4 linked regions of the Saccharomyces cerevisiae S288C genome follow. The gene in region 1 interacts genetically with each later gene. Each region holds a gene or a part of one and is shown in the gene's direction. Other genes may lie near its edges. The genes, in order: YPS7, YPS1, ALG8 and TOH1.

Region 1 (8,408 bases):
TGCATGTTGGCGGAAGCTCCTTATAGTCCAGACATGATTCTTTTAAAGTGTTACTTGAATTTGATGTATGTTTTCTAGTACTATGAACCTGATGGAAAGTTTTGTCCACACAGAGAGCCGAAGATGAGTGTTGTTTGCCTTCGCAATTGTTCTCCTGTATTAATATCTCTTCATCCCCCCGCGCTGAATCTAAACTCATTTCTTTTCTATTAAACTTAGATAATGTTAAAAAAGAACTGGTCGATAAAGATGCCATTGGAATGTTCCAAATTAACGAGCCGTCGACATCGCCCTCTTGAAGTTCCAAGTTAACGTCTTGATCTTCATAAAATTTTTCTTTCATTTTTATGGCTTTACGCAAAGATTGGTCATTTTGCTCTTTCCTTAAACGGTAACGTTGAGAAGGAGTAAGTTGGGTTGTTTTATATGGTAATATTACAGAAGTACTATTGGAATGCACATACGGCGTTTTTGTGATCGGCATGAGTTTTGGTTCTTGGATAGTTGCGGTACTCATGCAATGATGTTTAAGAGGAGAGTCATTCTCGCTTATGAATGAAGTTTGTGATGCGGCTATACTGTTGGTTGTATTGCTCGATCCAGGCAGCCCTACTGTCCTGGAGAGTTTAGGAGTTGACACCGAATTTTGACGAGATGGAATGCATGTAGTTATGGTACTCATTGAGCAGATTGTTTTATCAGCGCTACTTGCTGTACGTGTTTTCTGTAGTATTGATCCCGGTCGGCTTTTCTTTAAGGGCGTAATATTGCTTCTATGGTCAGCTTCTCTCATACTTTTGAAGAAGCAGTTATCCTCCATCTTACTGTTTGCTATTTCACCCTCTTCTGAGCTTATATCTGATGTACATAAAGAATCAGATGTCGTATTTGAGTGCGATGAAGAAAATATCTCTGTGCTCGATGTACCTATAGAATCATCTGATATTGGCCTAATGCACTTCGCTGTGGGTACGTGTGGATTATTATTACCTAATACATTTTTAACAACATCTTGGCTAGCGAAATTGAAATCTAGGTTGGAGCTAGGGCGTCTTGTTCCAATATTCTTTCCGTTCGAACCTGTAGTGCTACTGGATGCACTACTGCCTGATCGGGATTTAGACAACGGAAGGCTGCAACTTTTGCGTTCGGTATATTCTGAAAGCATCAACTCCTTTGTGGAAAACTTCTTAGGTTGATTTTGTTTCAGATGCGTTGAGTCCTCCTCCTTTAAAGGGTCTAGCTTAGACGTATTAGGAACTATATTAATCAAACGACGTGCTGTCATACAATAAAATTGAATGTCACAGAAAGCTAAAGAGCTGAAGTAAAATAATGAAGCAAAGGTGGAAGCCCGAAAATAAAGTTAAAATTCAAAGCTTGTAACGAACGTATGAATGAAAGCACTAATTGAGAAAAAACTGAATTTTGTCAAAACAGCTCTATGTTTCAGAATGATAAAAAGGAGAGTTAAAAATACAATGGACAGTGGAATACAGCCAAATGCTCGATAGCTTTCGCAGAAACAGTACAATTAAAGATCAACACTTGTATTCTAATTATAGCAGGATCGATGTTACATCTCTTTTGCTCTCTAATCGGAGCTGAAAAAAAAAAAAAAAAGCGTATATAGTGATCTACGCTGATTAACATTATAGATTGCATAAAAGGGAAAAAGGAATTACATGAAGATCTATTCTGCGCGACACACTTTATTGGCGTACTGGCAAGAATGGGCTTTCAAATCTTCCAAGCGTTCACTTTAATGTTCTTATTGGCATGTTAAAATGTATATGCCGTGTCTATTCCCAGCCTTTGGCTCAAATGGTCACTTCACCGCTGTTTAAACATATGGGTAGCGCAGGGACATACACAATTCTACCTATTACAAATCTGCGCCATTTATCTACGAAAAACTGTCCATTGAAAATTAAATCAAATCGTTCAGAACCTTTGCAGTTTGGCGATTTTGAACGACAGGTGCCATGTTCTAGGAAGAGCGGATCTTCGAAAAATGTTCAGAAGCGTTTATACGAGCTCCGACAATTGAAAACTGTATTAAGTGAGACTTTTGGAGTAACTGAATACGCCTCTTTTTTTGAATCTCTACGAAATGCCCTGCATATAAATAATTGCTCAGAAAATGAAAAGAAGAAACTTTTATATGATATCATTTTGCATCAACACGAGTTATACCCAGAGGTGGCAAGAAAAATTGGATTTTATCTACCAGGTGAGGTCCACAGATGGTTCTGGTATCATATTCCAAAATCAGAATCTTTTAATCACTATCTTTTTCTTTTGAAAAGTGATGTTCTTCTCTTTACTTCTAACTACTGTACGAGATTTACCAATAGGCTGATAAAAGGAACTGAGATGGAGAGGCAGTTAGCCACGTTCCAAATATTTTTGCATGATGAGACAAACATAAAATTTATAATGGAAAAAGTTCTGAAGTTGCATACATTTGACAGCTTAATCGCTCTAGTAAATGGCCTTGTTAAGGCGAAAAATTTTAGGTTCATTAAAGTATTTATTCAAGCTCTACTACAGAAGTTGGAACAGCACTGTTATTCTGGTAAAGATGGAGCAAAGCAAAAGAACCTGCGTTATGTCAAGTTCAACAATACCTTACTTTATTACCTTTTGAAAAGTGGAAATGTTGAGTTATTCATCAAAACCTTTCAAGAGGAACTGAAATTCATTGTAAGCTCAGGATTGCTTAATCACATTGATGGAAACGAACACATATTGAATTTTCCCATTCACCACTACTTGAATCTGCTCCGAATATCTAATAGGCAGGAGGAGCTTTTCAATGTAATTTCCTGCTTACAAAGCAGCCCACTGATGAAATATAAATTGTTCAAGGAGTTTTTAATGGGTGAATTAATTGCATCTTTTCAAGCCTTTCGTGACCCGAAATTGGTGTGTAAATATCTCCTCTCATCATACAGCTCAAAGGCGTCTGCTAATATTCTGAATGCCCTAGGGATTTGGGGGTGGCTCTATCATTCAAAATCAACGACTTTGACAGCTCCTACGTTAGCAAGAGAGCTGAAGAACAAAAATAATATTCTACCGAACACAATGCGAATAGGATCACCAGTGACTGTTCCAATTTTAACTGAACTGTATAGAAGCCTTTTATCTTCGAGTTCTGTTTCACTGGAAAGTGGTCAATTCAAGAATTGTCTTCTTGATTTATATTACAAGTACAAGAGTTTTCTTTCCGAGGAAGCTCATAAATACAGGTATTGGAGAAATGATACCGGAATCCTCAATGTTTTCCTAAATTATATTAGATTCCAAGCTCGTGAACCAAGGCTGGCCTACAATGTTCTTCTGGATTTTTATTCTCAACCTTTCGCCAAAAAAGTGGTTTTAACTACCACGCTATGTCCCTTTTCCATAGTAGCCTATAAAAATCATACATTAACGCAGGCTGAACTATCAGAATTGCTACAGGTGATGCATAAAAATGGGGTGCCTTTAACGTTTAAATTTTGTTCTGCAATGGTAATGCATTATGTCAAAATGAGAGACGAAAAAGGAGCACGCTCCTGGTACAATAAGATACTCTTCGGGGGCTTTGAAATCAGGCATATGGCTTTGATACAGATAATAAAAGACCAAGGCTGGCCGTTTCCCAAAAACTTTGACGAAACTTTACTGACGGAATTGGTGGAAAATAATAACATTAAAGAACCTACTGATAGCACCCTGTTTACTGACGAAGATATGTTCGAAGAAGATGGCAAGCCTAGATTTAATGATGATGATGTTAATAAATGTACAAATATTATAAGAGAGACGTTGAAAAGTCTAAATTAATATCCAGATGAGCACTAGTAAATAGTAAATATTCATTCATAGATAGTAATTTACCCATAAGTTATTAATACCTACAAAGTTTTTTCATAAGTTTATGAATATGTCTTCTTGGCCCATGGTTACTTTATTACCTCTAATACCTTATTTACTTTCTCAAATAAATGAGCCCTTGGATTTCATTTACTGAGAATAAAAAAAAGTACCGTGCTCGGCAAAAATGCTCCAGGGGAGGTTCGAACTCTCGACCTTCAGATTATGAGACTGACGCTCTTCCTACTGAGCTACTGAAGCTTTGTTTTGTACAGACGTTACATCTCAGAATGGGATACGTCAGCATGACAATACATTATCCTGAACGTTCATAGAACACATATGAAACCTAAGAAAACGAACAGATTGAGCAACATGAGGTAAAACTCCGCCTTCTATAGCTGGGCTATCTAAACGTATAAATGCCTGAACAATTGGTTTATGAGAAATGGGTGTATTTTGAGAGACTTGTTGGGATTCCATTGTTGATAAAGGCTATAATATTAGGTGTACAGAATATACTAGAAGTTCTCCTCGATGATATTGGAATCCTCTAAATGGAATCTATATTTCTACATACTAATATTACGATTATTCCTCATTCCGTTTTATATGTTTCATTATCCTATTACATTATCAATCCTTGCACTTCAGCTTCCTCTAACTTCGATGACAGCTTCTCATAACTTATGTCATCATCTTAACACCGTATATGATAATATATTGATAGTACAACTATTAGTTGATAGACGATAGTGGATTCTTATTCCAACAGTTTAGATCCAAGGTTCCGCGCTTCCACCATTTAGTATGATCCATATTTTATATAATATATAGGATAAGTAACATTCCGTGAATTAATCTGATAAACCGTTTTGACAACTGGTTACTTCCCTAAGACTGTTTATATTAGGATTGTCGAGACACTCCGGTATTACTTGAGCCCGTAGTACAGCGCAGGCCTCCAGAGTTGAATTATTCTAAATTCCTGAATAATAACAATTTTGCAGACAAAATTCAGGCAATAACTCAAAAGAGTAATCTTTCACTGCATTTAAGGCGCTAAGATTCCCGCCAAAAGTAGTCGTCACAAAAGAACGTATATAAAATGCACTTTCGAGCGGTGACAATGTGAGAAATAGGTAAATATTGAGACAATTGTTGGGATTACCCTGTTTCTCATCTTTTATGTCATCTTTTTACACCGTATATGATAATATGCTAGTCGATAGATGGTGGTCGATTCTTCTTCCTGTATACAAATATATGAGTTGGGGATGTATATTGCAAAGAGCTTGATTATGACACATTGCCAGACCAAAAAACAAATCTCTTTCTATAATGTTCCCAGGTGGGCTAATTTTTTAAATAACGACGGCAGTATATTGATATTGGAGAGAGTTGTATTTATTGTTCGATATTTATTTTGATATCAGCTTTATATTGTAAGTGTTCAATATTTTAATTAGTGTGTATTTTGTAACTTTACTGCCAATTATCAACATAATTACAAAATTGTTATAAAAATTGATGCACTAGTGTTTCGGTTCTTGCTCTTTTAACCAACCGAGCCTAAAAAAGAGGCTCTTGAAAGTAATTTAACCCAAACAATGAGATCTTCATTCTTTTTTTTTTTACCTCAGCTATGACTTGCAGTGCTTTGTATCATACCGCTCGTTTGGTCGTGCTATTTGCAACAATGAACCTCGTTACCCCGAACAAAAAAAAATGAGATATTGAACGCCGCAGCTCATCATGGTAGAATGATGCAGCTAATACCAAAATAAGTTATATTTAGAATGTTGGACATATCAGTTGCATTAGACTAATCGTTCTAGAAGGATACAGAACTTGGAAAGATCTTTGAACGTATCGTAACTGCGTGCTTGCTTTATTTGCCGTTGATTTTTGCTATGACATGCCTAATTTTATGGTATCTGTGGCTCATATCAACTTTTCAGTTAGAGTTTGCAACGGCTAGTACTGCAAATACAACAACTACAGCAAAGTCTGGAACCTCTTCGTCAACGGAGGAGCCGTTTCCTGTACTAGCCGTGGGTAAAGATGGTAGAGGAAACTACTATGTTAATAGCACATTTGGCACTCCCGGTCAACGCCAACGTTTGCTAGTGGATATTATCCAACCGTACATAAATCTGGTTTCCGGAACAAGCGAAAGTCATAACGAATACTCCGGTGTATATCATAAGCATCCCAGCTACCTCATGAATGACTCTACATCATCTGTTCCTGTTTCTCCTGGCCAAATATATGAGATTTCTTTCATTGATGGTAGAGCTGTTAACTGTACTTTGGTGACAGACGATATGAATTTTACAAATGTTTCCTCAGAAAATTCCTCGACCGCTTTGATAACCGATTTAATGGTAACTCGAGATAACGTACAATTTAACTCGGGGAGCCTATCCATTTCAAACGTTTCCTTCTTTGATATTCAGTCCTCGAACTTTAAGACTTCAGGCTTGTTAGGTTTAAGCGGGAAGGTCACAAACCCAGGCAATGCTATCGATAGCTCACAATACACAGAACAGTCTTATTTTCTATCCTTATTGAAAGATGCAGATATCATTGAAAGTTCGTCATATTCACTGTGGTTGGCTGGAGACACTTCCACGTACAAAACATATAGAGATCCAATATCTAATTGTGGGAAGCTACTTCTTGGAGGGGTGGATCCTTCGCTGTTTACCGGTACACTGGGAAAATTTGACTTAATTCCTTACGTTGACCCAGTGAGTAATGCTGTTAGTGTTGGGTACCCAATTGTGCCATTAGGCCCTATTTATATTGTGTCTAACAGCGGACAAAGTTTGAATATGACTTCGAAGGACTTTCTGAGCCCAGCCTTACTTGATTCAACTTCTTCGGTCAGTTACCTGCCAACTAGTACCATTATTCAGATTGCCGTTCAAATTGCGGCCACTTATGTGGAATCACTAGATAGGTGGCTAGTCCAATGTTCTATAGCAGATATGGGTGTCTCCTTGGGTTTCAGGCTTCGAGAATTGACAATTGAAATACCCCTACGTGATTTATTATCATCTACTTACGATACATCCACCAATTCTTCAATGTTTTTCAGTTCTGGACAGGAAGCTTGTTTTCTAACACTATACGCTAATACAAATACTGGAGTAAACATACTCGGAGAAGCCTTCATAAAAAATATATATATGGCAATGGACTTAGAGGATAACACTATAGCCATTGCACAGGCAAAGAAGGTTGAAGATGACGCAGTTACTGAAGAGACAAATGAAACTACCGCGTCCACTATCATCAAGAAGATCAAATCTGGTTACATTCCTTACGCAAAAGTGATGAATAGTAGTAATACAAGAAACTTGACTCTTTATCCATCCTATAGGTCAGGCTATATGTTCACTGTCCCAGGTCAACTGACAGCAGCATACTCAAACGGTGTGATTACAGGTGCGGGCCGGTCATTCTATGATACTTCAAGAGCAAGCACAAGTGCTAGACCATCCAGTACTCAATTCGACAGCTTTTCTGTGTCAGCCTCAGAAGAGTGGTCAAATTCAACTAATAGAACCAGCAGTGCTTCGGGAGCAGGCGTTCGATTGAGCAGTCCTTATACATTTAACAAAGATCCAGCTGGACATGTAACTCGTATAGCTTCCTTGCTACTACTTTCGATATTCTCGATACTTATTGTTCTTTGAATGGTTTTAACAAAAGTTCATAACATAAAACCTTTTTCTCCTTGACCAATGCACGTATAACATCATTATATAGCAGATTTAATAACAACATACTTAAAAGTATATATGCGTCATTCTTATCCAGTTGTGTAGAAGCTAGTACTTGTGATCAACCATTGGCAGCCATCTCAAAGAATCGTCGTGCACGGAGCGTAAATCGCGTTACTTTTTTTTTTGTTTTTTTTCCCGCCTCGAGGTTGGTTCAACAGCAGATCATGGTGACTGGCGATAGGTTATTCACTAGAAAATGAAGATACTCTTTCTTGGGAGGTAACTCTGTAAAATTTCTAATTTGTATTTTATAGTGTGTAGAATCCGAAATATATCCGATCTACCTCGCTCTTTTTATTGTTATTTTTATTCGAGGAATTTAAGTGTTTTGCAGACCTATCCCTTCGAACACGTAACGTCATTTTACCATAATCTTCGACTGCTTAATTGTTGATACATTGTAGGTTCCATTACACTTTGCCAGCATTTTCCATTTTTAGAAAAATTGATACATATACGCAAGATTTAGCATGGAGAATAGAAACAGTAGTACCTCTAGTAGGCCATTTTCTGTTAATAACCCGTTTAGAAATGCCACAGTTGATTCAAGTATTAATCAGTATAAAAATGACTCCCAGTTTCAGGAGTGGGCGAAAAACCAATCTCGTACCAATTCATTTGATATGCCACAATTGAACACAAGAACTTCTTCACAATTATCATTCCCAAACATTCCAGAGGATGAACCCCAGCGAAACGCAGATCAGCAGGGTGCTTTTTATTCTGGTTTGGAGAGCTTTAGTAGTGGTA
Region 2 (8,610 bases), on another chromosome or scaffold:
ATCAAATCACTCCAATGATCAGTATCCGAAGGTTCGGCACTACATAGTTTCGTTTATTAAGTCCAATAAATAAGCTTTTTTGTATGCACTTTTTTTTCGCTCATGCATAATGGATATAGCTGACTGAATGTCAGTAGTAATATCTGCGAGAAAATATGACACTAATTCTTGAGGTTTGTTGATTTACGTAATATGGTCCTCGTATAGTTAGAACGTTGTTCTAAAGAGCTAATGGCAGTTTCACTGCAGCGACCAAACAGGCAAGTTACACTCTCTGAGAACTAAACTTCTTGAATTGATGTCTGACCACGTTGGCATTTCCCAGTAAATTCAATAGGCTCAAATTAGCGGAAGAAAGCAATTTGTTATCTTTAATTAACCCTCAAAGAAATAGATACATCAATAAATGTCAACAGAGGCTTGAACTTATTTCACAATTTGTTCTCTTGTCCCATGTCAGGTGTAAAACTGACGGAAAGAACAACGTAAGATAATTAAGGTAAAAACAAAAAAAGGAAAGAATCTAGGCCCACATCGCCTTAGATCCACAACATGCAGAAATAGTAGCATACTTCTCCATTCAAATAACCCATTGTTTGCCTGCTTGAAAAGGAATTTTTTTTTTTTACTTTTTAATAATCCTGCTGTTTTTAGTGGCGTTTTTGTTCTCAACACTTTCCCAAGAGTATTCTCCCACCTCGCAAAATTATGGAATTTTCTTCATAATCAACCATGCCAAGAGCTTCTATAAACACCGGTGTATTTTTCAAGCCAATCTTTCATCTGAGGTTCGTCCAATACATTCAGTGGTATGTCTTTGTCCCGCAAGACTGCAACTAACTCTCCAAAAGCCCTTGCAGATTCCTCTTCAGCTTCTTCTGGATCTTCTTCTGAACTTTCTTCTGAACATAAGCCTGAATTCTCTTTCTCACCTGAAGATGAACATCCTTCTTCAGAGGTAATCACCCCATCTGGCCATGCCGCTGTTTCATTCAATAGAGGATAGTTATCCTCTTTCGGGCTAGCGACATCACCATTTTTATCCTCAATTCTACTTTTCAAGGATTCTTGCGAAGTTATGTCCTTTTTCAAGTGGCTCATGAAATTCTTATTAGTTAGTTCTAAAATTTCTCCCATGCTTGGCAGACTAGACTATTCTTTTCAATGTCCAAAGCCACTACTACGTTGCGTTAGTTTGACTCTTCACTCTCTCGTACTGAAATCCTCTATGCGGAGAAATACAGCGGACGGATTGCGTGACAGGCACCTAATGTATTACTTAAATCCCAAAACTGGAAACTCGGCGTTCTAGAAGAATGGTTTTGATTGACCCATAAGATATTCCATTAGTTGTGTATCGCAAGGACTGACGCAGAGCTAGCATACCTGCTCGAGGATTATACAAGTAGGTGATGCAGTAGGTGATGCCTATAGAACTGGGATGCAACAGGAATTCAAGTGGATAGGGATTATACAGTATCAAGGAGCTGATCTCTATCCGAAGATTAGCGTCTTTAATGGTTCATTCCAAACTGCAGGAAACTAGCAAGCTTTGTAAACTGAGGATGACTTGGTATTACACGGATTTTTGTACAGAATGCACTGAACACCAACATCTTACGCTGCAACAAGATATATCTTAATGACTTGAAAAGTTTATTTTTTTGAAGCTGTTCACTAATAATGTCCTTCATAGTAAAGTCATGGTGGATTGGTAGCAGTTCAAAAATAGGAATACTACGTTTAGATGAATGCATTAAAGCCGGACCTTTCAAGCATAAAAGACATATCTAAAGAAGGCAAAAAAAAACGGTAAAGCAGAAGAAACGAGACGGTAGATACAATTCAAAGCAACATATATTTGAAAAGGGTCTTCAACTTAAAAAAACCCTTTTTCATTGCTTTTTTTTATTTTTTTCCTTAAATTGTTGATGTCAACATGACGTATAATACGTCTCGGTCATTTCACTTCCCCTCTGATTAATAGCCCAGCGGTTAGAATAGCCATTCGAACACAGAAAGCTTCCAATTTGATTATATGGTAGGACTTAAACTTCCCATATTAACGAGTCTTCTGAGCCAAGGGGAATTTAGGACGCTCAAAAGTTGGGTTAATTTGCTTATCTAGCGGTTTTGAAGAAGTACGGGCCATTTAAATGTAGGTTGACAGGAAACCAGCTTTCATCGGTTGGATGATAAAGTACAAATATCCAGAAGAAAACTGCTGTTGCCAAAAAAGTTTTGTTTGAAAAAAATAACACCACAATTTTGCTTCTTCGATGGCAAACTGATCAGAATCAAGAGACAAAGCTGCTGTGGTGGTGTTTTGTTAAACGTGTCTGTGAATGACTTCTTTCCGCTTGCGCACATTTTTCTACTGGCTCTCCTCACTAAATGTTAAGATTTCTGATATATGTGGACCACATTTCACCATTGTTGAAATGGACGGTATGATATGATTCGAATAAGACCTGGAATATGCACTCTAGCATACCAGGAGCTCTGGACATTGTATTCTTCTCATCTATTGTAAAACATCTCTCAATAGTAACGTATGAGTAATGATTCGGAATGGCATCTAGATTAGCAAATACTTGCTTGCTTGTTGAGGATAACCGTAAACTCGTCTGTTCTTAGTGCAAAAACCGTCCCAAAAGTAACAGACGGTAACTCATTCTACATTAACATTGGATGATATGTTGACAATAAATTCCGAGGGACAGCTCCGTTTCCTAGTGAATCTCGGTGGTTGTAATGAGGGTAAATCGCTGAGCATTTTTTTTTCTTCTCTTTACTACACCATTTAGAGTTCTCACTTTGTAAAATTCCGTCCTGATATGAGAATATATATCTCCACGAAGCAATACCAAGCACAAGAAAAACATAGCAATTTTTGCAAGGCCCGGTAACGCAAGATGTGATAACACGCTGCATCATTTTAATTAAGAGCGCGCCACTTCTCCAGATAGTGCTGTATTCATATATGTAAGTGCTCACACTTTCTGGGAACAGCGGAGTCATTAGAAGACTGGCTTCGCTGAAGTTGCTAGAACGAGCAAATTACAACATTATATTCAGCTTCAAGAAAAAACGCAGACAATGGACTCAGGATGATGAGAGGTTCCTTTGTACCACTAAGATCGACTCGTCCTAACCCTATATCCCAATCCCAAGACTAGGCGAACCAACATTAACTGGGCTCGTAATAGGGCAATGATAATGCAAAAGCGGCTCCTAAACAGAAATTCTTCAGTAGTCAAATCTCGAAATTGCCTTGCTCGTCATCAACATGAATCGTCTATATCAAAACTGCATGTTTCTCTACGTCTACACAGATGTTTGCGTCCGATTGTGCGCTTCGATTTTTTACATAATGCTGGAAGCAAAGTTTGCTCTCAGAATTCCTGCCCTTCGCCCCAGTTACACGTGGGGACAATGGCGCTCTTTCATACAGTCTTCATTCTATGGCCGCACTTTTGTGGCATTCTCTGGACCGTCCATGAAAAATTATATAACTATTTGCTTTCTATTGAAGTCTATTGAAGTTAGCGTGGATAGAACGGCGTTACATGGCACATCAGCTGAAGCTAGCGCAAGTAATTTTCAACGCATTCAAACGAAAAACTTATCTAAATACAATTGTAACATACCGGCTTGCTGTGTGTGAACCCCTTTCCCCAATTGTATATCAGAAACGTCTGAGTGGAGGGTGAGGAATCACTCACTACCTTTTCTCCATTCGACGCCTATAAGCAGCGTATTTTAAAGGAAAGGGGAATTAGTGCGGAGATGGGCCAGAAATGTACTCTTTTTTTGGCAGAGTTTTTCCGGGCGGGACAAAACAATGGCGTGGGGTGATGAAATAAGCAAAATTCAATATCCCTTATGACGGAATGGCAGAATTGGCCACCATTTTGTCTTGGCATTCAATATACATACAAATCTTCACTACCGCGATATTGTTGGTAATGGAGATTGCTTTTTGGCCTCCTGGCTTATAGGGCTCTGAGTCTCGTGGTAGTGGAATCCGGCACAGAAACGAGAATCGGATATTTGGGGCCGGGCCATGTACAGGCAAAAGAAATAGCGAAAATATCTCTTATTTTTTTCGCGCTTCCTTTGTAGTAGAAATTATTGGCGATCGGATTACTATTCGCGGAAAAGAAATTAAAAATAGCGAAGAACTTAGAACTATAAGCCTCAAAAGGAAACTTGTGTGGTCGAAGGCTGGACGCCATAATAATATATATATGTACGTATATATATTATATATGAATATCTGTAGCCGCTAACTTGTGTGTTTGTGAATTTATATAGGATAAATAGAGCAAAATTACTCGGCATTGAAAAATGAAACTTCAATTGGCGGCAGTGGCTACATTAGCAGTCTTAACTAGTCCGGCATTCGGTAGAGTACTTCCCGATGGGAAATACGTCAAGATTCCCTTCACAAAAAAAAAGAACGGCGACAATGGTGAACTCAGCAAGAGATCGAACGGCCATGAAAAATTTGTACTAGCTAACGAGCAAAGCTTTTATTCTGTTGAGCTAGCCATTGGTACACCTTCACAAAACCTCACTGTGCTGTTAGACACAGGCTCAGCTGACTTATGGGTTCCTGGCAAGGGAAACCCCTACTGCGGTTCTGTGATGGACTGTGACCAGTATGGCGTGTTCGACAAGACCAAGTCGTCCACGTTCAAAGCCAACAAGTCCTCGCCTTTTTATGCCGCTTACGGTGACGGAACCTATGCAGAAGGTGCATTTGGTCAAGATAAATTAAAGTACAACGAATTAGACCTCAGTGGTCTATCGTTTGCCGTGGCCAACGAATCTAACTCAACCTTTGGTGTGCTCGGGATCGGCCTTTCCACGCTTGAAGTCACCTATTCTGGAAAAGTCGCTATTATGGACAAGAGAAGCTACGAGTATGATAACTTTCCCCTGTTCCTAAAACATTCTGGAGCCATCGATGCAACCGCATACTCTCTTTTCCTAAATGACGAGTCACAGTCCTCCGGCAGCATCCTCTTCGGCGCTGTAGATCACAGCAAGTACGAGGGCCAACTGTACACTATCCCGTTGGTTAATCTTTATAAGTCGCAGGGTTATCAGCACCCGGTGGCGTTCGATGTCACTTTACAGGGCTTAGGACTGCAAACCGACAAGCGCAACATCACATTGACCACCACCAAGCTCCCAGCCCTACTCGATTCAGGCACAACGCTAACATATCTGCCCTCCCAGGCAGTGGCTTTGCTAGCAAAGAGCTTGAATGCCTCGTATTCCAAGACATTGGGTTATTATGAGTACACGTGTCCCTCGAGCGACAACAAAACCAGCGTGGCCTTCGACTTCGGTGGCTTCCGTATCAACGCTCCTCTATCCGACTTTACTATGCAGACCAGTGTGGGGACCTGTGTCTTGGCAATAATTCCACAAGCGGGCAACGCCACCGCTATCCTTGGTGATTCCTTCTTGAGAAACGCCTACGTGGTCTACGATTTGGATAACTACGAGATTTCCCTAGCTCAAGCCAAGTATGGCACGGGGAAAGAGAACGTCGAAGTCATCAAATCTACCGTTCCCAGTGCAATAAGGGCCCCCAGTTACAACAACACTTGGTCTAACTACGCCTCCGCCACGTCCGGTGGTAATATTTTTACCACCGTGCGCACTTTCAATGGCACCAGTACTGCCACCACTACGAGGTCAACCACCACCAAGAAGACAAACTCTACCACTACTGCAAAGTCGACTCATAAAAGCAAGAGGGCACTCCAGAGGGCTGCTACCAACTCCGCTTCCAGTATACGCTCTACCTTGGGTTTACTGCTAGTCCCCTCCTTACTCATCCTTTCCGTTTTCTTTTCGTAAAAAAAAACAATAGACACTATATATAGACACTTTTTCCTTTCCTTCTTTGCGCGATTTCAAGAGGAAAAGCATACTTAAATAAGAATATTCCTAAAACACACGTTCTGACGCGTCAATTAGATCGTCAGACCTTGCATGCAGCCAAGACACCCTCACATAGCACTGCCTCCTTCCTCCTCTTTTCTGTCACCACCTCACCTCCCTCGTCCACTCAACTGAGTGGCTTTTCGCTCCTTTTATACTGCGCCATGAGTAGTTTTCGTTTCACTGATGTGTCCGAAAAAATTGAGGTTTCATAAAAAAATTCGTGGACTTATTTATGGAGAAACAGGGAAATCCGACTACTTAAGAAAAGGGTGTCAAAGAGGATTTACTTTTTTCCTTCTTTTTGCATTTGTTCCTATTTCCGCAATTGGACGGTTATTAAGAAGAACGCAATTGGCTTTTCTGTATATTAAAATACATAGCGTAATAAAAAGATAAGGTGAACACCAAGCATATAGTATAATATTACCTACCACATATGAAACTGAAAACTGTAAGATCTGCGGTCCTTTCGTCACTCTTTGCATCGCAGGTTCTCGGTAAGATAATACCAGCAGCAAACAAGCGCGACGACGACTCGAATTCCAAGTTCGTCAAGTTGCCCTTTCATAAGCTTTACGGGGACTCGCTAGAAAATGTGGGAAGCGACAAAAAACCGGAAGTACGCCTATTGAAGAGGGCTGACGGTTATGAAGAAATTATAATTACCAACCAGCAAAGTTTCTATTCGGTGGACTTGGAAGTGGGCACGCCACCACAGAACGTAACGGTCCTGGTGGACACAGGCTCCTCTGATCTATGGATTATGGGCTCGGATAATCCATACTGTTCTTCGAACAGTATGGGTAGTAGCCGGAGACGTGTTATTGACAAACGTGATGATTCGTCAAGCGGCGGATCTTTGATTAATGATATAAACCCATTTGGCTGGTTGACGGGAACGGGCAGTGCCATTGGCCCCACTGCTACGGGCTTAGGAGGCGGTTCAGGTACGGCAACTCAATCCGTGCCTGCTTCGGAAGCCACCATGGACTGTCAACAATACGGGACATTTTCCACTTCGGGCTCTTCTACATTTAGATCAAACAACACCTATTTCAGTATTAGCTACGGTGATGGGACTTTTGCCTCCGGTACTTTTGGTACGGATGTTTTGGATTTAAGCGACTTGAACGTTACCGGGTTGTCTTTTGCCGTTGCCAATGAAACGAATTCTACTATGGGTGTGTTAGGTATTGGTTTGCCCGAATTAGAAGTCACTTATTCTGGCTCTACTGCGTCTCATAGTGGAAAAGCTTATAAATACGACAACTTCCCCATTGTATTGAAAAATTCTGGTGCTATCAAAAGCAACACATATTCTTTGTATTTGAACGACTCGGACGCTATGCATGGCACCATTTTGTTCGGAGCCGTGGACCACAGTAAATATACCGGCACCTTATACACAATCCCCATCGTAAACACTCTGAGTGCTAGTGGATTTAGCTCTCCCATTCAATTTGATGTCACTATTAATGGTATCGGTATTAGTGATTCTGGGAGTAGTAACAAGACCTTGACTACCACTAAAATACCTGCTTTGTTGGATTCCGGTACTACTTTGACTTATTTACCTCAAACAGTGGTAAGTATGATCGCTACTGAACTAGGTGCGCAATACTCTTCCAGGATAGGGTATTACGTATTGGACTGTCCATCTGATGATAGTATGGAAATAGTGTTCGATTTTGGTGGTTTTCACATCAATGCACCACTTTCGAGTTTTATCTTGAGTACTGGCACTACATGTCTTTTAGGTATTATCCCAACGAGTGATGACACAGGTACCATTTTGGGTGATTCATTTTTGACTAACGCGTACGTGGTTTATGATTTGGAGAATCTTGAAATATCCATGGCACAAGCTCGCTATAATACCACAAGCGAAAATATCGAAATTATTACATCCTCTGTTCCAAGCGCCGTAAAGGCACCAGGCTATACAAACACTTGGTCCACAAGTGCATCTATTGTTACCGGTGGTAACATATTTACTGTAAATTCCTCACAAACTGCTTCCTTTAGCGGTAACCTGACGACCAGTACTGCATCCGCCACTTCTACATCAAGTAAAAGAAATGTTGGTGATCATATAGTTCCATCTTTACCCCTCACATTAATTTCTCTTCTTTTTGCATTCATCTGAAAACCGTTGCACAAAGTTTAGACATTCACATCTCCAAGCCAGTTGGAGTTTCTGGCGGAAATCGTTGCTCTCGCTTGGGCAAAGTTTTTTTTTATTATTAATTTTTTATTGTTACGTTGGCGGTCTTCATTTTTACTTCACAATAGTTTATCTTACCCACTAAGAATAGGTTACCATTTATTCACATTTTTTTTTCTCATTCCTAGTATACTATTTACCTGGGATATGGCCTATAATCAAAGGCTTTAATATTCTAATAATTCGTTTGGCATCTAGAATAATCTATAAAGTATAGTCTATATACGTACATATTGATAATGGCGGTAGCTGCTGAACTAGTATTTCAAATTACCTTGTTTATCCCAGGTCGCCAGTTTCTCTCTCCTCAAGTGATATTGTGTTCGTATGTCCAGATAATTTTTGATGAACTGATCCAGGTCATCGGCTGAGTCAATGGACCTTGTGGTAGTTTCTAGCTGTGAACTCTCCTCATCAAGTTT
Region 3 (8,308 bases), on another chromosome or scaffold:
CTAGTAGTTGTATCTCACTTATCCGGACTTCTGACAGATCGTTGCTATCATTAATAGCGCCAGATCCAGTCAAAAATGCCCTTTTTTTAGACTCTGAACTAAAGTCATCACTTGTCAAAAAGAGTAGAAAATCTTTGTCCTTTTGTAGAACCGGATCTTGACATATTTTTTTTAACATGCTTTCCATTTGAAATCTTCTATTTTCAATGAAATTTTCCTTAAAACTGCCTACTGATTGCTTCTCTGGTGGTGGTGGTATTACTTTACCCCAATGGTTGTTCTGCAATTGACGATATAGCCACCTGAAATCTCTGTAACGCCTGCTTACCTGTGCATATTTTAGCTCAAGTAATGATGATTCACTGATTACAGTATACTCCACATGAATGGATGTTAGCTCTCCTACTTTGACCGGGTCTTTAACTTCAACTTTGAAAGCCACAGCCTTTTCGGTTGGTGGCACCTTTGAGCCAATCTTGGTTTTTCCAAACTTTTCTGAGTTTTCCTCGACCTCAGCAGGACTTGAAATATTAGCACCTGTCTGAGGAAGATTGTATAAAGGCCTGTCCACTTGCTCAAGGATATTTTTTTCAACAGAAGCTGTGAACTTGCCCTCATTGTTTTCTCTCCTTTCATTCCTATCGTCCAATGGCTCTTCAACAAATTCATTCTCTTTTTCAGCTTTCTTTAAGGGATCAGTAAAGGGTGTTTTGATGGTATCATCGGAAGCAGTTGTTCTCTTCGCTTTCAGAGAATGGTTGCGTTTGGAGTTTCTTTGAGCTCTGGCGGAATCAAACAGAATTCGTGGTTTGCCGGATCTTCTTCCAGAGATGCTTTTTGAAGTATTTGGTGAAGTGTTAGCATCGTATATCGTATCGTCAAAAACTAAGGGAGAGTTGGCGTTTCCAGTGAACAATGCGCCACCGGATTCTCTTGTTGCAATAAATTGTGTAGTGCTATTCTTGAGATCAGCAATCGGATCCTGTTCAGGGGCTAAAGAATTAATAAGATCGTCAGCTTTGGAATTGTCATGCTCCTCTAGTTGCGGATTACCAGCCACCGACAAACCAGGGTCTTTCCATTCTGGCGCACTATCCAAGTCTATCTTGTCCGCAAATGAAGCTGTGGTCTCTAAAAGCTCATTGTCTTTTCTTTCTTCATTTGTAGATATTTGACCAATTGATTCAATTGAATTTGAAACGAGGCTCTGAGTTTTATCTCCCTCATGATTTAGTTCGTCCCAAACAGGTGCTTCTAGATTATCCTCGTAGTCCATGGCTTGTTATTGCAGGATGTATGAAAGTTTATAAAATCCCTGCTGCAAATTAAGAGATATATGGTTTCGTTCACTACGTAGTTATAGTAAATAACCTTTGCTTAACCCATTTTTCAAAGCATTTTTAAAATTTACTGTTATCACTTAGTTGTTCTTAGCGGACAACTTCCGAAAAGTGAAATTTCATTTTTCAAAACGACAATAGTGGTATAGAATTATAGAATAACATACGTTAAAAATAGCTGAAGTTCATTACAGTTCTGTAGTGGTCAGCAAGGCATTTGACGTCTATTGGATAGCCTACGATGAAAGGTGATCGTTCGAGGCAAAATATGGCTGTGACAAAGAAGGCAAAGTTAAAAAAAAATGACGAGCCAAAAAAGGTTTTGAAGACTGCCGCGACCGAAAAAGGTGAGGGATCCAAGCGCTACTCCTTATGGAATTTCTGGATAAGCACATTGTTTTTAAAATTACTATTGATTCCTGACTACTTCAGTACAGATTTTGACGTTCATAGAAATTGGCTGGCAATCACCAATAAATTGCCCATCAGCGAATGGTATTATGAGCACACTAGTCAATGGACATTGGATTATCCGCCATTTTTTGCTTATTTTGAATGGTTTTTATCGCAATTTGTTCCTAAATCTGTACGTGATGACGGTTGTTTGGATATAGTGGAGATCGGAAAGTTCGGTTTGCCAACAATCGTTTTCCAACGACTCACTGTCATCTTCAGCGAAATTCTTCTATTTGTCATCCTTCAAATATACATTAATACTACAAAGCTAAGTGAAAGATCTCAAAGTTTTGTGGTTGCTTCTAGCATTGTACTATCACCCGGGTTTTTAATAATAGATCACATTCACTTCCAATATAATGGTTTTCTTTTTGCGATTCTAATAGGCTCCATTGTCGCCGCCAAGAATAAGAGATACATCTTGTGCGCTGTTCTGTATACTACAGCCATATGTTTCAAGCATATATTTTTATATTTGGCGCCATGTTATTTCGTGTTTTTATTGAGAGCATACGTTCTCAATGTCAACAATTTCAAGTTTAAAAGTTACAAAGATTTTTTGTTCCTGATAAGATGGGCAAATCTTTTGAAGTTGGCTACCGTTGTTGTTGGAATTTTCACTATTTGTTTCCTTCCATTTGCTCATCAAATGCCGCAAGTGTTGAGCAGGTTATTCCCATTCTCAAGAGGACTGACGCATGCATATTGGGCACCAAATTTCTGGGCGTTGTATTCTTTTATGGATAAAATACTCACTACGGTAATGTTGAAATTACCGTACGTCCACACTTTTGCTACAAAATTTATTAAACCTCCTCTGATCCCTCAGAATATCAAGGAAATTAATGAAAGGCTCGCGGCAAACAACAATGGAAGTAAAGGTCTAGTTCAAGACGTATTTTTTGTTATTCTCCCTCAAATTCCTCCAAAATTAACGTTTATTTTGACGATATTTTACCAGGTCTTAGCAGTACTTCCACTTTTGTTTGATCCATCGTTCAAAAGATTTGTTGGCTCGTTGACTCTCTGTGGGTTGGCATCGTTTTTGTTCGGGTGGCATGTGCATGAGAAAGCTATAATGCTAGTCATCATTCCGTTCACATTTCTTGTTGGATTTGATCGTCGTCTTTTGGTACCGTTTATGTTAGTTGCCTCAGCTGGTTATGTTTCCTTGTATCCTCTTCTGTACAAAGGCCAAGATTTTTTCATTAAAACATTATACACTTATGTTTGGTGTATAATTTATTTTGCCGCTTTTAGAAAAACTACGAAGATTTCTTCAAGTGTAGAAAGAAGAATCTTTTTCTTGGATAGGTTGGCATTAACGTACATCTTTTCATTGTTACCAATCGTCACCGTATTACAAATATTGGATGAAGTCAAGTGGAGATATTCATTTTTGCAAAAATTTGAATTCTTAGGATTAATGATATATAGTGTCTATTGTTCATTAGGTATAATCAGCTCGTGGTTTGCCTTATCGTGGTTATATAATTTTGACGAATTACTATGGCAGTGATACAATATCGCTTCCCTAGGACGTTAAAAAAAAAGTGATATAAAATTATTTATATATGAATCGATTTTAGAAATATTTATTGTACATTTTCACCTACTAACTAATTGAATAACGATTAGATTTCGATTTATGCAGTCCCTCACGCCAGTTCCTCATTATTTTTCGTTTACGTATTGTGCGTTTTACACTTGAATTAAAATAACATTACATTAAACTGAATGAAGGTCAACTCCATTCACATGCATCAGTTGAAAGGTATATAAGTACTACTTCAATATATTATCTATCAGCTCTGGGAAAATGCTTTAAGAAGGAAAAAAGGTAAGTAAACTATTTTTTAACGCTTCATGATTATTGAATGGTCCTTTTGGCTCATATCGTTTTCATGAATCTATGACTATTTTCACTGATCATCGATTAATCTTTTCAAGGCAGTTCTAGCATCATCCTGTTTGTTGCTGTACGGGTTTTGTTTTAGTGAATCGTCAAAGCTAGAGGGAGCTTTCCCGGTTCCAACAGGGAACCCGTGTAAATTAGGAGTTGCACTGTTCGAAATTGAAGTACCTGGTATGTATTTGGTTCCTAATGAGCCATTCATGGTTTGCTGGATTAATGGAGTGCATTCAATCAAAGTGGGTAATTGAAATTCTTGATTTCTAGGAGTTGAAGGTCCATGGGCAGCGGTAAATAAATTCGCCGGCGGCTGTAAGTTTTCGCTTTTGGTGTTACCTAGCATATTTGCTACCCCTGTTGTGGTTTTTTCTTTGTTGAAGTAAATAGATGACACCCGAGACATAGATTGATGAGGTGGGGAAGCGATATTGATTTGTGGCGGGGAAGAGTTCATGTTTATGTGAGGTGGGGGTATTTGAAATTGACGCTGTTGTTGTTGCCTTTGAGTAGGAGAATTGGATTGCGATTGCACTTGCACTTGCGCCTCCAATTGAGCTTGTAATTGTCTATGGACGTTGCCGCTATCCGATGCGGTGGCTACAGTGGTGCCATTTACCATGACATTAGAGCTTCTTGGTGGGCTGAATAATCCAGGTGAACCAAAGTTTATCCATGAAGGAGGTGTGTTAAAACATTTTTGACGTCTGGGCGTATTAGATACATTGAACAGCATTTCTGGCCAATTCCCATCTGCGTCGTCAGTAAGCAATAACGGGTCACCACTTGAAAACTTAAACACGAATTCCTGCTGTTGTTCGTTAGATGCAGTAGTCGACTTGGGCAACATTTTGTTTCGAGGTGATAAGAAAACTCCCGGGCTATTAGTCAAGGTAAGTAAAGTATTAGCATCCGCGATATTGCTAATGGAATTACCGTTCTGATTGTTATTATTGCTGGCACCCACAGCATTTGTAGATTTGGATATAGTATCACTTAATGATACGGAATTTAGTGCAACATTGGGAGTAAATCCCATCCTGAATTGTAGAGAACTCTTTGGAGTGGATGGGGGCTTAAGTTGCGCGCTTGAAGGGGGTGATTGTGGTGGTTGCGAAAGCAGTATATTATTGTTTCTAGCACTGCCTATTGGAGAAGCTGAAGTTTCTATGATAGTCGGCAATTCTGTGTCGATGATGTCAGATCTGCTTGGTTTCGCTGGAGGTGCTTCGGGGAGCGTATCAGTATCACAATATTTCTCATTCTTCATCTGTTTTAAGAGAGAAAGAATACGTCTCTTCTCAAACTTGGGTGCATTTTTCTTGCTTCCTTTGTGAATTTTTTCATTTTGCATGATCTTTTTATTATTATTGTTCATTAAATGAGACGATTTTGACGATGGAGAGAAAGGCAAAGATCCTGCAATAACGGCCTTCCCACTTTCGGTAATGGTTAAAGAAAGTTTGAATTGTTCCTGTGAAGGAAACATGTAGTCATTTTTCTTTTGGAAAGCTGGAGAAGACGTCATGATAGGCGGCGAACTCTGAAGAAAGGTTTTCCTTGTTTCAGAAAACACCGTGTTATTATAGCTGTCATTCGAAGACGGGGTAGAGATCGGCGTAGAGCCATTAGTGCTCGATTTCTTGGTGGGAGTAGAAAGAAGAACGCCCCTGTATCTGCCCTTTCTCGTAGTTGCCGCCAAATTATGATGATGATCGATGCTGAGTCTTCTTTTATTCGGGGATGGACTAGATTGCCCCACTTTCATCAAAGGTTTGGCAAAACTGTGAGGCCCCTGCTTCTGAACCTGCATTGAAGAATGCGCCATGGGGCTTTGTAGGGGATTGGGATAATCTTTGGTGATGGGAGGCCTGCCTCTTTTTTTGATCATGCTTTTATCCATAGTGAATATTTTTCACGAAGTATTCTTGAGATATTTTTATTCCCCTTTTCAACTACACAACCCAGGTTGGTGAATATATACTTAATCAAATCCCTTTAATCACCTTGGAATGTGCAACCAGCTCTTCTTCTCAAAATTTAAAAAAACTTCCGAGAATGAAAAATGAACTAACGAAAAATTTTCAAGACCGTCTTAAAGATCCCTTATCGGTGCTGCAAAGGGGAAGCAGTTATTAAGAGAATTATTAGTATTTGCTGGCTGTGCCTTGATTGTATTAATTGATGGAACAGCGAGAGAAATTTTAGAGGTATGAAACCAGACAATAGAACGGGACTAATATGGAAAAAAACCGATTTGAGGGATTTCCTATTAGGGAAAAATAAGTGTTTGCCTCTTTAAGGAAAAAATACTAGCGCGTTACGCGGCGACTTCAAAGATCGACCATAACGGTCTCGCTCGCATCCTCAACGATTGTGTCATATTATTAATGGAACGAAAGAGAAGGTGGATGGCCAAAGCCTTGGAACAGTGGTAGATTTACACTAAGTTTACTTTCTTAATAGATAATAGGAATATATATGTACATATATAAATAAAAAATAAATAAAATAAATATTATAGAAGAACACCAAGACGCCGGTGTTGGGCATCCAAACAAAATATTGTAAAGTTTCTTTCTTGCAATCTTCTACCTTTATTTTTATTTTTTATTGCTGTTAGGTTGTTAACATTTAAACATCTTTTTTTTTTTTTTTTTTTTTTTTTATATTATTATTCGTGATATTTCGCTTGCAGCAGTATCTCAGTACATGAAGGAGACACTATTGAAGTGAGACGTTGTTTACAAGCAGTGAAAAAATAAATAGGGTGGCCGAAAAAAAAGAAACGAAACCAGAGAAATAAAAAGGAAAAGTAGGTAAATTTTTGTTACCTTTCACTCTCTTTCTGAAAACAATTCAGTATGCTCTACTAATATTCTTTTTTTTCATTTCTTTTATTATGTTTTTTGTTTATTGGTTTTTTTTTTTCCGTAATTTAAATAATAGTGGTTTTCATTTTTTTGTCAACTACTTTCTTGGTTTTGGTGGATTGAAAACGAATTTTCTGGTTTTGATACCGGCCCATTTGAACTTCTTCACCCAGATAGATAGCAAATACAAAGATGATAAGATTATCACCGTTTTCAAACCCAATCTCTTTCTTTCGTCATGTTCAGGTTCGGCACACCAGTTTAAAAAGGTGGTAACGTCCTTTGCCATTTGAGATGTCGTTGCGGGGGTACCATCTTCGTACTCAACCATGTCATCAAACAAGACTCTTGCCATTGCAATGGAACCACCTGGGAAGTAAGGGTTATAATTAGAACCTGGTGGTAAAGCCACACCAGCAGGAGGTTCATCAGGATAACCGGTCAACAAAGAGAAAATGTAGTCACAACCACCGTGTCTAGCTTTCACGATCAAAGATAGATCAGGTGGCAAGGCACCTTGATTGGCAGCTCTTGCAGCCTGTTCGTTTGGGTATGGGCCAGGGATGTAATCGGACAACTTACCTGGTCTCTTTTTAGGGTTACCTTGTTCATCAGGTTCGTCATCGTATTCAAATTCTTCGGCCATATTACGAACCTCTTCGTTGGTATGAGAAACACCAACCAAAGTTCTCCAAGCAACTCTGTCAAGAGAATGGCAGGCGGCACAAACTTCACGGTAAACCTGGTAACCTCTTCTAATGGATGCATGATCAAATGTTTCAAAAGGCCCATTGTGGGACCAAGCATATGCTGGGGCGTGCAATCCGTGTTCAGCTGCGGTCATAGCTTCGGCAGTTAAGGAGTCTGCATAGAGTAAAGTCGATGCGGTGATACCGGCGGCAGCAACACCCGCTGTAACGAGCTTTTGAGTAAGCTTGCCAGATTTACTAGCAGCACCTGTTGCGGTAGAGTAGAAACTTTTCGAGAGGGTCCTTTGAGCCCAACGTTTAGATAGATTTGAAAACATTGTCAAATTAGTTATAACTTCCGCTTCTGAGAAAAAATAGTAGATGATATAGTGTAATGAAAATGCAAATTGTAAAATATTATTTTTCAGAACTAGTTCAAACTAATCAATTGAAGATATCACAAATGTGGGGAAATTCAATGAATGCTTTTTATCAAACTGGGGGAGTACTGGAAAAAATATTTAAGAAAAATAGTGTTACACTAATATAGAATATGGATTCTTTTTCTTTTTCTTTCTTGTCCTTAATATTTGAAGATAAAGTACAAAAATGTATAAAATGTTGCTTAACAAAGAAAGATTGTGAAACCGATGATTAATAAGAAAACGAATGGCCTCTACTAAAAGCTTAGATAGTCTATGGATCCAGTTGGACGTCTAACCTCGTTATTATTCAAATTGTTTATATACTAGAAAGAGCCCCCTTAGTATCTACGCAGGGTAAAGGCGCTCGACCCTCTCCACCAACCAAATCCTCGCATTTTTTGGCCGCCGGAAATACCGGCCGCCCATTACCAAGAAATCCGAGAAAAAAAAAATCTTCAGTCACGTGGCGCTCCGTCTTATTTCCGTCCTTATACAAACATTTGGGATTGGCTCACAGAACATCACAACAGCATCTGTGAAAGTCTTAATAGAACTGAAATGTATGATGCGCTAGCACATCCGCTTTACAAGGAAGTTTTTTTCGTCTACAGCAATG
Region 4 (7,757 bases), on another chromosome or scaffold:
GCGAACAAGAGGATCGGAACATTTAAGAATAATGATTTCATGGAATGTGACTGTTATGAAGAATTCTCAGATGGCGTCAACCATGCCTGTGACGAGGATTCTGACTGTATCAATAGACTTACGTTGATAGAATGTGTCAACGATTTGTGTTCATCTTGTGGTAATGATTGTCAAAATCAGAGATTTCAAAAGAAGCAGTACGCTCCGATAGCCATATTTAAAACAAAGCATAAAGGTTATGGCGTAAGAGCCGAACAGGACATAGAAGCCAACCAGTTCATTTACGAGTACAAAGGTGAGGTGATCGAGGAGATGGAATTTAGAGATAGGTTAATAGACTATGACCAACGTCATTTCAAGCATTTTTATTTTATGATGTTACAGAACGGAGAATTCATTGACGCCACAATAAAGGGTTCGTTGGCCAGATTTTGCAATCACTCTTGCAGCCCCAATGCATATGTTAATAAATGGGTTGTTAAGGATAAGCTACGCATGGGAATATTTGCTCAAAGAAAAATTTTAAAAGGTGAGGAAATCACTTTTGATTATAATGTGGATCGTTATGGTGCTCAAGCTCAGAAATGCTACTGTGAGGAGCCAAATTGTATTGGGTTTCTCGGTGGTAAGACTCAAACAGATGCGGCATCTTTATTGCCCCAGAACATCGCTGATGCCTTGGGAGTGACTGTTTCCATGGAGAAAAAATGGCTAAAGTTAAAGAAATTAAGCGGTGAGCCAATAATAAAGAATGAAAACGAGAACATAAATATTGAATTTCTTCAATCATTGGAAGTCCAACCTATCGACAGCCCAGTGGATGTGACGAAGATCATGAGTGTATTACTACAGCAAGATAATAAGATAATTGCATCCAAACTCTTGAAGAGACTTTTTACTATCGATGATGACTCTCTTCGTCATCAGGCTATCAAACTACACGGTTACACCTGTTTTAGCAAAATGCTTAAATTGTTTATCACGGAACAACCTCAGGTAGATGGAAAAGGAAACGAGACTGAAGAAGATGATATAAAGTTTATAAAGGGAATTTTAGATTTTTTGTTGGAATTACCAAAGACAACTCGAAACGGTATTGAGTCGTCACAAATTGATAATGTAGTAAAAACTCTCCCTGCAAAGTTTCCATTTTTAAAGCCAAACTGCGATGAGTTATTGGAGAAATGGTCGAAATTTGAAACATATAAAAGGATAACGAAGAAAGACATAAACGTCGCAGCCAGCAAAATGATAGATTTGAGAAGGGTGAGATTACCTCCAGGCTGGGAGATCATTCACGAAAACGGTCGCCCATTGTATTATAATGCAGAACAGAAAACGAAACTACACTATCCACCTTCGGGATCATCTAAGGTCTTTAGTTCAAGGTCAAATACACAAGTAAATTCTCCGAGTAGCAGTGGAATACCAAAAACGCCTGGCGCTTTAGACTCTAAGAAACATAAGCTGAGTGACGAAGAATATGAGAGGAAGAAACAAAAAAGACTGGAATACGAAAGAATTGCGCTAGAAAGAGCCAAACAAGAAGAATTGGAAAGCCTGAAGCAAAAGCTAAAGCTTGAGAATGAAAGAAAAAGCGTTTTGGAGGATATTATAGCGGAGGCCAACAAACAGAAGGAGTTACAAAAGGAAGAGGCCAAAAAACTAGTGGAAGCAAAAGAGGCTAAGCGGTTGAAAAGAAAAACGGTCTCCCAGTCCCAAAGACTAGAGCACAACTGGAATAAATTCTTTGCATCTTTTGTACCCAACTTAATAAAAAAAAACCCACAAAGTAAACAATTTGATCATGAAAACATTAAACAATGTGCTAAAGACATCGTGAAAATCCTAACTACAAAGGAACTTAAAAAAGATTCTTCAAGAGCGCCGCCTGATGACTTAACCAAAGGAAAAAGGCATAAAGTTAAAGAATTCATAAATTCATACATGGATAAGATTATCCTCAAGAAGAAGCAAAAAAAGGCGTTGGCATTATCATCAGCATCAACAAGGATGTCTTCTCCTCCACCTTCAACATCATCATAATTAACCAGACATGCATATTTGGGGCTTGTTTCACGTTTTCTGTCCCAAAGGAAGTCTTGTACTTTAATTGTAATTGCGATTTGTAATAAGTAATTTTTTTTGTCTTTACCGTTTATTTCTTTATACATTTTTGGTGCATATATTTAAATATCCGCATTAGTGGGCTATCAGTAGCACTGTAATGATAGGTAATGTGACACATCTTCTCGACAGATATTATTCTTGAAAAAATCGTGCGTTTCAAGTGTCTTTATTTTTTTGCTGTCAATAGAAGTGTTGAAATGACTTTGAAACGTAATTACCGCATCGGGAAATTTACATGTTAACTGCAATGAAAACAAGGAATATACGGGGAACATATAAAGGGTCAGCGTCGTTGACTAGTCTGTCATTTATATTGTGCTTGTACATAGGACTACAAAAATTCAAAGAATGACGACAAGAAACATGACTACTTTAGCATCAAGTATTGAGCATAAAACAAAACATCTAGCCGCGCCCTTCGAGAACGATGAGAACCCTTGGATGAAAAAATACTGTTGCCAATGCAAATCATGTAAAATGAGTGTGCCTGTCCAACCTTGGCTGCCAAGGTTTTTTGTTTTTGGAATCTTGTGCCCCGTTTTCTGGTTGGTGAATCTTTTAGCCTGGTGGTTCTTACAGTATTGGCAACCACATGAATTGGAATTCCACGACTTGCAAGAAGACGAATACCCAGGATTTTATGAATATGAAGCCATAACTAAAAGAACGGTGATACCCATAAAGGAAGAAGTCCTCCAAGAGATTCGCGTCATGCAGAATTTCAGTGATAGCAACAGCGAAGAATATTACGAGAGCAAAGACGGTATGCCGTCGTCTTTCCTAAACGTGAACACGGAACAAGTCGAGGACGAGAATGACACCTTGAAAAAATATCGTTACGCGTTTTTGAAGAAGGTAGCCCACGATGTGCTGGAGTCGCACGATTTATTACGTAAGACCTTCCGCGACTGGAATTTACGGTCTTTGCTTGGCCTCCTCATCGATTCTATACTCATAATATTTGTAGTTCTCCTATGTAAGAAAAGCCGTTAGGTAGATCTAAAGACAGAAAATGATATCAGCCTCTTTCTTTTCCACAGCCTCCATTTCCCATTTTTGCTGTATCTGCAAGGGTTCCTTTTTCCATTTTTTTTTTTCAAAGTCTTGGCTCCGCCCTTTTCTTTTGTCTATTTTGCCGAGCTTAGGTTATTTATAAACCTGAAAATCCTCGAGAAACAATCCTTATCGAAGGAAGCAGCCATAATAGAACATACTCAAGTGCAAACATTACAAGCTTAAATAAGACAAATGTTACAGAGTATAGTCCTTTCCGTGTGCATGTTTATGTTGCACACAGTCGCTGCCAGTGGACCTCAGTCGTACCAAAAGTTGGATTTCACTAATGTTGGTTTTACAGGCTCCTACGTAGATGTGAATAAGTTTAAAGATATCACCAACAATGAATCGTGTACTTGCGAAGTGGGTGACAGAGTATGGTTTAGTGGTAAGAACGCTCCACTAGCAGACTATTTATCCGTTCATTTCCGTGGACCATTGAAGTTGAAACAATTTGCTTTTTACACATCCCCTGGATTTACCGTCAACAACAGCAGAAGTTCTTCTGATTGGAACCGTCTTGCCTACTATGAGTCCAGTTCCAAAACCGCTGATAACGTTACCTTTCTAAATCATGGAGGTGAAGCTTCCCCTTGTTTAGGAAATGCTTTGTCCTACGCTAGTTCTAACGGTACTGGCAGCGCCAGTGAAGCTACCGTTTTGGCAGATGGCACTTTGATTTCTTCAGATCAAGAATACATAATCTATTCGAATGTCTCATGTCCAAAATCAGGTTATGATAAGGGTTGTGGGGTTTACCGTAGTGGCATTCCAGCTTACTATGGGTACGGAGGTACAACAAAGATGTTTTTGTTTGAATTCGAAATGCCTACTGAAACTGAGAAAAATAGCAGCTCTATTGGGTACTATGACTTGCCTGCTATTTGGTTGCTAAACGATCACATTGCAAGGACTTCTCAATATCCAACCAATGCCAACTGTTCATGTTGGGCTAGTGGATGTGGGGAATACGATATTTTTGAAGCTATGAATGGTACGGAGAAAAACCATCTCTATTCTACTTTCCACACTTTCCAAGGTATCGAGGATTTGGGTACTGGTATCCAATCTTACGGATACATAACAAGAAATACTACTGGAACGATGAAAGGTGGTGTTGTTTTCGATTCTAGTGGAAATGTCGTTTCTTTCATATCTGATGCCACTCCATTCAATGGAACTGTTTCTGCTGATACTGTTAACGATTTATTGGCTGCAATTCCAGAAAACGAAACCTATTCTTCTCAATTGATGAGCATTTCTGCTACTGCGCCTTCGACCACCTCGAAGTCGAATGGTGTTGCTTTAACGAAGATGCAAAACGGTGTATGGTATTATATTTTGGCCATATTCACTGCCTTTACGCAAGTGGTTTTGATTTGATTTAAGTCATTGTATGGTCATATTATCATCATCATTTAAATTTTGATTTGACACTTGATTTGACACTTCTTTTTTTTTTTATTTATGTTTTGTTTAACTGACGGTGTTTTTTTTTTTACGTTATACTGATACATATATAGACGTGATTTATTTAAATAAAAAGTTCTATGAAAAAAAAAAAAAATTAAAAAAAAAAAATTAAAAAAAAAAAATCTTTGACTATTCAATCATTGCGCTTAAGCGTATTCGTTAACATTAACGATATACTCGTAAACAAAGGCAATGGCAGATAAATGACCTGGGACATCCACGTGTTCATTAACCGAATGCAATGTCTTCAGTAAATCAATATCAATGATAGAGCCAACAAACCTATAAATGTTCTTGGACAAATTCCAGTAGTATTTAGTATCGGTGTTACCAGAGAATAAACCAGTAGTCACATAGAACTCTTCGTTGTTTTGTAGAACACCGTTTTCAAAAACATCTTGAATAGTACCTGCCAAAATGTCCCAAACAGGGCCTGAACTTGGCGAAAGTGGTGCTGGTTCCAATTCTCTCAAGAGAGTAATGTCAATGTGACCTAACTCGGTTTCAGGGATAATGTAATCGTCACCGTTCTTAGATAAACCATAGCCATACTTCTCAGCAATCTTTTTCGCATATTCTATGTTTCTTTCAAAGACTTCAGCCACAGAAGAATGTAAATTAATTCTGTGATTGATCAAGAATCTGGTAGTTTCGGGCAGAGCATTAGCTTTAACACCACCATTGATGATATCAACAGCTTGTGTTGTTCTTATTAAGCTGCGCAAATGTGATTGGTTGGAAATGTACTCAACAAGCTTGTCCTTCCTTCTAGGACAGAATGGTGCGCCCAAAATTGTCTTCTTCACATCCTTACTTAAAGATTTAGAATGTTCAGCAGCACATGTCAACAATCCATAGATTGGATTGTCAAACTCAAATTCGTAGTCAAATGGGTTGGCTTCAAATTCAGTAATCAGTTCTGAAGCGATACCGATTGTGGTATGATCAGGTGGGACAGAGGAATGACCACCATGGCCTAGAATACTGACTTCGAAGTCGACATAGCCTTTTTCAGCGTTGATTGGAGTGGCAACAAAGACATCCTTGTCGACTTCCATGATACCTTCACCCTCGTCAATGATACTGTAAATACCATCATCACCATATCTTTCGTGAAGAAATGAGGCTAAGCTGGCAGCACCGAGGGTGCCGCTTGCTTCTTCATCAAAACCAAGCGACATAACAATAGTTCTGTTGGGCTTGAATCCATCTATCAACAGTTGTTCGATAGCTTCAAACTCGGCAATTAACAAGTTCTTACAATCGTTAGAACCACGCCCCCAAACAAAATCTGTTTCTGGATCATAGTGACCAGAAAATGGAGGGAACTTCCAGGATGATAAAGTTTCGTTGTTTACAGGTACAACATCTTGATGGGCCATTAACAATAATGGTTTTAGATCAGGATCAGAACCTTCCCATGTGTATAGAAGACCCAGCTCATTGACTTTCTCCAATTTCAAATGCTTGTGAATATTAGGGAAAGTCTTCTCAAAATAGTCGTGTAGTTCATAAAAATGCTTATAGAAATCCGGATCATCTGCGGGGTTGGGGTTTTTGTCTTGGACTACAGTGGGGATTCTAACAGCATTGGACAGTTTCTCAATGGAGCTGTTTCTAAAGGCAGGGTCATGAAGAATTGTGTCGACGGAATGTTTGAATGATGGACTTAATGGTTCAATCTTCTCACATTTGGGTGAGTGCATGGGACCTTTTCCATGGTGTGGACGCTTTGCCTCATGAGGTGGTGCTGGGTGGAGACCCGAAGTGAGGAAGAAGGTGCCGATGATAATAAGGGCAACTATTCCACTAATAAAGGCTCTGTGCCTTTGCCATAGGGACTTTCTAGGGGCCTTCTCTACTGGTAAGGCGATCATAATGTAATTGTTAGATGAATGATTCCTTAATGTGATGATGCAGGATTAGTTTTACAATGGGAAGAGACGTATTTGGGGTACCCGTTTCTTTTATATGTCATAAACTTTCTTGCCCGACCTTGGAAGGCTGTATCGTATTTTGCCCAAAGGGGAAAATAAAAGGCCGCTATGATAAGATAAGGGTGGCGAGGCTGAGATAACAAGAAGATGTTCTGAGCATTGAGCATTTAGGATAACAGTGCACAAGATCACGCGGTTCAATTCGTCACGTAAAGCTACTAGAAGTGGGTGTTTCTAGTAGCCTGCAAAAAGCGTCGTTCTAAAGAAACTTTTTTCAATGACACATTTACTGAAAATAGAAAAAGACTATCTATTCGTAGCTGATTTTCAAAATCCGTATGGGAAATCAGAGGTTATGGAACTGACAACGTCGTAGGAACAAGCGATATGCAAATCCCGGTGTCGCTTTGTTTGTGTATCGCTAAAAGCTTATATGCAATACTCGCGAAGGTACTATAATCCCTTGGACTAGGTCATCCCAATTCTTTGTCTTTATCAGTAAACTCTTATCTTACCTTTGGTCTCAAACTGGTATTTTATTTGCTGAATATTAACTACCACTAGGGATTACTCGTAAAATTATGAAAAAAGTACCATATGAACTCCAATAACGGTAAGTGATCAATAGGGAACAGCAAGTCTCTTCTTCTTTGCAACGTCAAGATTGATCCTATGCTTTCATAATTTCCCTACATGATGGCAGTCATACTCCAATTAAGTGCTACAAGAAAGAGGCCTTCGCAACAACTGTGTCAACGCTTGCAAGTGCTAAATTGTACTACAGCACCAGTGGTATCTCCTATAGTCAGTTACATAGTAAAATATTCAGAGGTCCATTACATAAATATATATATATATGTAGAGGCATCCATCCATGTTTGTCGATGCAGCTGCAAGCACCCAACAAGAACAGATGACAGCCAACAGTCGTTGACTAACGTAATGGGCCACTGCTGAGAAGCATCCACCGCCCATGCCATGGTTGGAATCATGACAAGTCGCCCTATATAATGCCTTCGTTCTTTAATATTGACGCGCCAAATGTGGCAATACGCGATATTTTTTTCGTTCGTGTTTAAATAAAGAGCAATATAACACACCCTTCACCATTCTTGTAGAACATCGTCTACCAGTAACACAAGTAAAAATGGCCAGCGAAAC

Evidence for each region.
Region 2: of YPS7 (region 1) and YPS1, changing one enhances a phenotype caused by changing the other (phenotypic enhancement), as found in Saccharomyces cerevisiae (one study listed by BioGRID).
Region 3: mutations in YPS7 (region 1) and ALG8 together harm fitness more than expected from each alone (negative genetic interaction), as found in Saccharomyces cerevisiae (2 studies listed by BioGRID).
Region 4: mutations in YPS7 (region 1) and TOH1 together harm fitness more than expected from each alone (negative genetic interaction), as found in Saccharomyces cerevisiae (3 studies listed by BioGRID).

The regions. Positions count from the first base shown.
Region 1 is NC_001136.10:1,171,546-1,179,953, reverse strand, and holds YPS7 (putative aspartic endopeptidase), read left to right. Parts: upstream 1-5,777; coding exon 5,778-7,568; downstream 7,569-8,408. Other genes in the region: SBE2 (Sbe2p), read right to left, coding at 1-1,288; ATP22 (Atp22p), read left to right, coding at 1,780-3,834; PAL1 (Pal1p), read left to right, coding at 8,129-8,408.
Region 2 is NC_001144.5:386,011-394,620, reverse strand, and holds YPS1 (aspartyl protease), read left to right. Parts: upstream 1-6,400; coding exon 6,401-8,110; downstream 8,111-8,610. Other genes in the region: YLR125W (uncharacterized protein), read right to left, coding at 727-1,137; YLR122C (uncharacterized protein), read left to right, coding at 3,290-3,667; YPS3 (aspartyl protease), read left to right, coding at 4,351-5,877; ESCRT-I subunit protein SRN2, read right to left, coding at 8,446-8,610. UniProt on the Saccharomyces cerevisiae protein: Cleaves proteins C-terminally to mono- and paired-basic residues. Involved in the shedding of a subset of GPI-anchored plasma membrane proteins from the cell surface, including itself, GAS1 and MSB2.
Region 3 is NC_001147.6:446,736-455,043, reverse strand, and holds ALG8 (dolichyl-P-Glc:Glc1Man(9)GlcNAc(2)-PP-dolichol alpha-1,3-glucosyltransferase), read left to right. Parts: upstream 1-1,581; coding exon 1,582-3,315; downstream 3,316-8,308. Other genes in the region: VAM10 (Vam10p), read left to right, coding at 831-1,175; VPS5 (sorting nexin 1), read right to left, coding at 1-1,276; MSA1 (Msa1p), read right to left, coding at 3,719-5,608; ubiquinol--cytochrome-c reductase catalytic subunit CYT1, read right to left, coding at 6,676-7,605; YNG1 (Yng1p), read left to right, coding at 8,306-8,308. UniProt on the Saccharomyces cerevisiae protein: Dolichyl pyrophosphate Glc1Man9GlcNAc2 alpha-1,3-glucosyltransferase that operates in the biosynthetic pathway of dolichol-linked oligosaccharides, the glycan precursors employed in protein asparagine (N)-glycosylation.
Region 4 is NC_001142.9:96,516-104,272, reverse strand, and holds TOH1 (Toh1p), read left to right. Parts: upstream 1-3,378; coding exon 3,379-4,569; downstream 4,570-7,757. Other genes in the region: histone methyltransferase SET2, read left to right, coding at 1-2,046; ASG7 (Asg7p), read left to right, coding at 2,494-3,123; CPS1 (Gly-Xaa carboxypeptidase), read right to left, coding at 4,806-6,536; RFA3 (Rfa3p), read left to right, coding at 7,744-7,757. UniProt on the Saccharomyces cerevisiae protein: Probable circularly permuted 1,3-beta-glucanase involved in cell wall modification through beta-1,3-glucan network alterations such as increased branching or remodeling.